Linked DNA regions of Mus musculus. The protein of the gene in region 2 interacts with the protein of the main gene of each other region in a pairwise test. Links are inferred from orthologs where the notes say so. Each region holds a gene or a part of one and is shown on either strand. Other genes may lie near its edges.

Evidence for each region.
Region 1: the proteins of Ehd3 (region 2) and Micall1 interact in binary tests that used the Homo sapiens proteins (3 or more experiments, as listed by UniProt). The link is inferred for Mus musculus from reciprocal best matches to the Homo sapiens genes EHD3 and MICALL1.

The regions. Positions count from the first base shown.
Region 1 is NC_000081.6:79,132,951-79,135,313, reverse strand, and holds part of Micall1 (MICAL-like protein 1), read right to left. Parts: intron 2,315-2,363; coding exon 2,193-2,314; 3' UTR 164-2,192; coding exon of another isoform or gene 92-163; 3' UTR 1-91. Other genes in the region: 1700088E04Rik (UPF0193 protein EVG1 homolog), read left to right, coding at 92-163. UniProt on the Homo sapiens protein: Lipid-binding protein with higher affinity for phosphatidic acid, a lipid enriched in recycling endosome membranes. On endosome membranes, acts as a downstream effector of Rab proteins recruiting cytosolic proteins to regulate membrane tubulation.
Region 2 is NC_000083.6:73,803,691-73,807,444, forward strand, and holds the start of Ehd3 (EH domain-containing protein 3), read left to right. Parts: upstream 1-1,150; 5' UTR 1,151-1,552; coding exon 1,553-1,779; intron 1,780-3,754. UniProt on the Homo sapiens protein: ATP- and membrane-binding protein that controls membrane reorganization/tubulation upon ATP hydrolysis. In vitro causes tubulation of endocytic membranes. Binding to phosphatidic acid induces its membrane tubulation activity.

The DNA of each region.
Region 1 (2,363 bases), on a different chromosome or scaffold from region 2:
GAGGAGCCCCAGCCAGCACCAGGACAGTTAGCTAGATGTCTAGGGTGTCCTGCCTGCCATGACAGCAGCTCTTTCTGGTGGCTCTCTGCAGAAACTACGGGAAATGGAGGACATTGATCGCAGGAGGAGCAAGGAGCTGAGGAAAGCCCTCGCCACCACTTAACCCAAGACAAGGGCGGGCTCACCCAGTGAGACTGCCAACCCGGCACAACAGCCAGAACCAGTGCCCTTCACTCTGCCACACAGCACCCATCCCAGGCCTGCCCACCCATGGGGGCTGGGCCACGCCAGATCATGACATGGCTTTGTCCTGTGGCATGAAACAGTGTCCTAGTCACTGCCTGGGGATGCAGAAGCCGCAGAGTAGTGTCATAGCTACTGTGTTTCTTTCTCTAGGGAAAAGCCCCAGGCACACCATGGCGATGCCCAGGCTCACCCACCTTGGACATGTGCCTAAGGGCACCCTCTCTGTGGCTCTCCTGATGTCACAGCTGGCCTCAGGTGCTCTGTTTTGCCTTTCTGAACCAAAAATTAAACATGACTCTTTCCTCCCTTAGATCTTTCCCTTAGGATCTAAGTCTTTGCCTTCTTGTAGCCTTGGGCAAATGTTTAACCACAACAATTAACTGGCCAATAAAACACATTTCACTTGCCCCTGACATGTGCCACCTTGTTTCCCCAGGGATAACACTTATGTGTTCGGAATCAGAACTTGTCCAGCACAGATGAGAATCTAACTTGGACCCCACCTGGTACCCCACCTGGTACACTGCACATCAGTGTCCTTTCTTTGGGCTGTTGACACTAAGCAGCCTGACCTTCACCAATATTTTCATTTCCCTGTCCCCATAAATATTTCCTGCACCTGCTGGAAGTTTCCCATAACTCTATTAGAACATATGACCTGTGTTCTTGTCCTAATAGAATAAACATGACTACTCTGCAGCAGCCAGCAGATAAGGGTTCAATCAGTCGGGGCAAGCCCTCTAATGTGCAGGCCTAGCACAATGGAAAACCCAGGACAAGTGTAGCCCACTGTGACAAACTCAACTTTGATGTCAGCATTTACAACTTGTGCCTGTAGGAGAACTGGATTCTGGATGTCTTCTGATGGGCCCATGTTGACAGGACACAGGTGACTATGAGAAAGGTTGTCCTGTTCACTGAGATACAAACTTTCCTTGACACAGAGACAGCCTGGTAGAGCCCTCTCCTGGGTTACAGCAACTGGGTCATAGGGCTCCTCTGAAAGACCTCTGAGGTGGTGGCCCTGGTTCCAGGACAGCAAGTGAATCTGGAGAGACTACCAAGGGGCACTGGCAACTGAGATACAGTGAGTTCCTTCCCAGGATGCACAAAGGGAGGGACTCTGAAGTCCCCGAGTGTAAGAACAGTGCTTAGACCATAAGCTGCCTGGCACAGTCCCCAGTGACAGACTGCCCAGACCACAAAAAGGAATGGGCCCATCATCCCCGGACGTGGGGAAGACAGAAAGCCTGACTGAGAGAACACCCACCCAAAGCATCCCTTCCAGGCTGACCTGAGTCAGTGCCCCAGCTCAGCCAGCAGCTCCCTGTGTGGTAATCCTGGGTTCCCACAGAGCAAAGGAGATGAGGGAGAGGAAACGGAACTGTCTTCAGCCCATTCCCTTCTGACACAGCACAGAGCGCTCTGAGGGGCTGGACTTGCAACCCTCATAAATACAGCTCCTGAGTGAGGTGACATGAGTTTCAAGGACATATGCGCTAGACAGGAAGGCAGGGACTAGGGGTCAGAGCTGGGAAGGCAGAAGCTAGGCAGCCAACCTTGCTGCTGGCCTGCTGCAAAGTACTCGAGCCCTTAACCAGGGCCTGCTGTGAGAAGGACTGTGGTGAGGACCCCATCTGACCTGGTTCAGGGAGAACAAGGAGAGCCACGGCCTCTGCCTGGAGCCTGCATCCCTGCTTGCTCCAGGCTGGCCACAGCATCTGGGGACAGAATCCAAGTGGGCAGGGCTAAGTCACAACTGGTTGGGACACAGGGAAGAAGGAAAAATCTTTAGCCCAGACCAGCTGGAGACCATGGAGGAGGGGAAAAGTCACCCAGAGACTCCCTCCCACGGTCATCGTCCCCCTTGGCAGGTCCCCCGGCAGCAGAGTGCTGCTGTGGCCTCAAGGCTCCAGGAGAGGAAAGGAAGGTGGCTTCCTTCGCTGTCAGCTCTTGTCCCCTGGGGCCTTGCTCTTGGCTTCTCGTTTATTCCCCAGAAACTTCAGCACCTTTATGGTCTTGAACTTGCCTTTCTTCTTACTGTCAGACTCGGCCTCTCTTTGGAAATCTGCAGCAAAGAACAAAGACACTCAGCCAGGGAGGGAGGGAGCACCTGG
Region 2 (3,754 bases):
GCTGGCAATGGCACGATCTTCCTCAGAGGGGCGCTACAATGTTGCTTCCTGAGATCTCAGCAACCCCTGTGCTTGGTGAGCATTTTGTTACATAGCAATTATTGGTAATGATATTCTTATGGGTTTCCCATTTCTTGTTTGGCTCCTATCTTGGTGTGCACATTCTTCCATGCCTGTTCCCATCATACATTTCACGATCTACCATTTTGGATGTAGCTCTGCCAAAATCTTTACACTGCTCTGGATTGTTTTTAAGAAGGCTTTTTATGTGACCTCAAATGCCTTCCAGTCTTCTCTCAGCTCATCCTTGAAGAGACATCTCACAGCCATGTTTCCTGTAATGCCTTCAAATTGACCACGAAAAAAGCAAAAGATGGTTCTGCTTGCTTGCTTGCTTTTTTTTTTATTCTTATTTTTATTTAATTTAATTTTTTTTTTTTTTTGAGACAGGGTTTCTCTGTGTAGCCCTGGCTATCCTGGAACTCGCTTTGTAGACCAGGCTGGCCTCAAACTCAGAAATTTGCCTGCCTCTTTTCGTGTCTGTTGTAATTCTACCCTGCTACATCTCCTAAAAGGCTCCTCAAAGACTCAGCTTTGTATGTAGTTGTGTCAAATTAGGTCGCTGCCCCTTAGCACTCCCTGCCTGTGTGTGTTTTGCTGGTTTTACCTACCGTATTGAGTGGGAGAGAGGGGGAGGAGAGAAAGAGGAAAGCCGTTTTTGTTTGTTGTTTGTTTTTCACTTCACCTCAGGCCTGGTGAAAAGATAAGTTACTGATTTTTTGGTTATTTTATGTCACTTGTCAGGGGCACCTTCTTTCCATGCCCCAAGGAAAATACAGTAGAATTTTCCCCAAATGGGTCCCAATATTAGTATCCCCAGGGAACTGACCTCAGTAACCAAAGGAACTGAGTCTCAAAACGGTAGAGTAGGTCAAGGCTGTCTTAGTCTCCGTCCTTGAGAGGGCGCTGCTCCCAAGTCAAATCCCCAGGGCTGGGAAAGAAATGCCTGCGCTTTCCCACAGGACTCTGGCAGCAGCTTTTTGCAGATAGAGTCCGCGCGGCCGCAGAGCGCCTGCCCATAGACATGGCGGCGCCCTCCTTGGCTTCGCGTCGCCCTGACCGTGGAGCTGGCCGGGTTTTGCCAGTTCTCGGGGACTTCCTGCACGTCTGGCATTTAAACGCGCGCCGGGGGCGGCGGGATGCTGCTGCGGATGCGGAGCTGTGTGAGCCGCTGCCTACCCGGCGCAGCCTGGGCTCCGCAGTAGCGGAGCTCGAGCATCCTTTAGTCATCTATCTGGGGAGACCTGGAACTCAGGCTTCGGCTTCCCGGCAGGTTTGTCTTTAATTTCCAAGGTTGCAGTTCTCTTGACACAATCCACAGCATCCTTCTCTCCAACCGGGCTGTGGATGAACCTGGGACTGGACTGAATCCAGCAGCTGGGGCAGCCCGGGCCATGGTGCGTCTGAGCCCCGAGCTCTGGTAAGGCAGTAGTGGCGGCGTTGTTCGAGCTAGGCGGGTGCCACTCCCGGGAGCTTCCTCCCAGCTGTCACAATGTTCAGTTGGCTGGGTAACGATGATCGCCGCAAGAAGGACCCTGAGGTCTTCCAGACGGTGAGCGATGGACTCAAAAAACTCTACAAGACCAAGCTGCTGCCTCTGGAAGAGTATTACCGCTTCCACGAGTTCCACTCGCCCGCCCTGGAAGATGCTGATTTCGACAACAAGCCCATGGTCCTGTTGGTGGGCCAGTACTCTACCGGCAAGACCACCTTCATCAGGTGAGCCTCATCTGGGTGCTGAGCCTTCCGGGTGACGTGGAAAGTCTTCCATTAAGGGCTCTGAAGAAATCCCTGTGGGAGGCCTCAAAAGTTGATCCTACTACCGAGTCCCCCATTGATTCCTATATGATGTCCCTCCTCAGTTCTTAGCCCTGGTCATTTTATTAAGAGTCATCCCTGTTGTCTGATCTGGGCACTGAAACTGAGGCACAGAAGGAACCAGACTCCTAATGAAGGTGGGGATACCGTAACCCTCCTTTTGACTAGAATCTCTTATCTCGTGAAGGGCTTGGGATTATCCCGGGGAGCCTTACCTTTGCAGCCGAGTTGTTCTCATGGTCGCGGGCCTGGGGATGGGGGTGAACTGGAGACCCTGGGGTCATTTATTCTTTTACCGTTTTTCCTTCTCTCTGACAGTGCTTTTAGGGCTGTCTCTTAGAGAAGCAGAATACTTTTAATAAGTTTCTTCTTTGAACTTAATAGTTCAATAATAATAATAATAATAATAATAATAATAATAATAATAATAATAATAAAGCAGCTTACAGAAGTAGAGGAGATACTAAGATGCCTCATCTGGCCCTTGACTTTGCAGGTGAGATAGCAGAGGTGATGGGAGGATACGTGATGGTTTAGAGCTGCACAAGATGGAAGCAGCCCTCGGTGCCTGTGAAAAATGTTAGCTACGTGCCTGTAACTTTAACAGGGAGTCTTCCATTCCGTTGAATGATAGATTTTGGGGGCTGCAAGCATTCAGAGAGAAAGTCAGAAAAATCCAATAGCTCTGAAGAACAGGCCTCTCTCAATCTTTACTGCATACAGACTGCAAAGCCAGGCTGCCCTTTTCAAAGGTTGAGGGGTACACATATTCCAAAGGTTGGAGGCTGCTTATGGCCCTTTGGGCTAAGAGGTCACACTCTTACAGGTGCCGTATCCTCCCAGAGTCAAGGGCACCCATCTGCAGAGGGCTTTAAAGCAGCAGTCCTCATATTTCTGGATTGGCATCATGATCTACAGAGCCACGTGCTTTGCTTGTCAAGGAGAGCAGCAGAGTTGACAACCTGGTGACTCATTTTTCAGTTTCTCGTGTCTCCCGCGCTAAGCTTCTGGGAGCCGTGTGTGTACCATGCTAACCTGTCCTGTCTGAGCAGAGCACCAAATCATTTGTCTTTGTGGAGTGGACAGTCTTGGGCTGTCAACTTGACCTGCAGCTTTGCAAGGTCAAATGATTTCTGAAGTGGGGACCTGGGGGTTGTGGCTTATTAACTCTAATATATTTTAAACATGAGACATAAATCCATTGTGGGTTTTTTTTTCACCTTGTTTTTAAAAATCTAAATCACTTTTCTTTTAAAAAAAAAAAAAAGAAAGCTGTAGCACTCTCTTTAGAAAACTCCACGGATACCCTATGTTTACCTGTAGTGTTGAATGGATTTAACTGGGAACACAGAGGGAGAATCTTGGATTCAAAGTCAACCCTTAATTTTATTAAACACCAATTGGTGCCAAATGTGCTTCAGAGATACCTGGGTTGTGCACACAAGTTCCTTTGTATCGCTGTTCTCCACCCTTTTGGGTTTATGCCTCATGGGAAGTGTGGGCAATCTGCAAACTGTTCTTGGCTTCGCACCGCCTTCCCTGGCCCTCTGATCATCCTTGGTCATGACCCTGAGGACATTAAGCTACTGGACCATCTCCTTCCCGCAGTAAAGGCACTTTGGTAGCTTCTGGACCTGAGCATGTCCAGGGACTAAGCTCTGGGGAGTTCCCAGCAGCCATCTTGCAAAATGGGAGGGAAGAAAAGCAAATGTGTTTTAAGAGCAGGGTCCCCCGAACACTAGAAAGTTTAAGTGCCTCTGTGTGGGATACCCTCTGGATTTTGCCTAAGTCACCACAGGCTGTTACTAGATCCAAGAAAGTGGAAGAGTGAGATGCCCCACATTATCCCTTATCTGAGGGAGGCAGATCCCTCTTC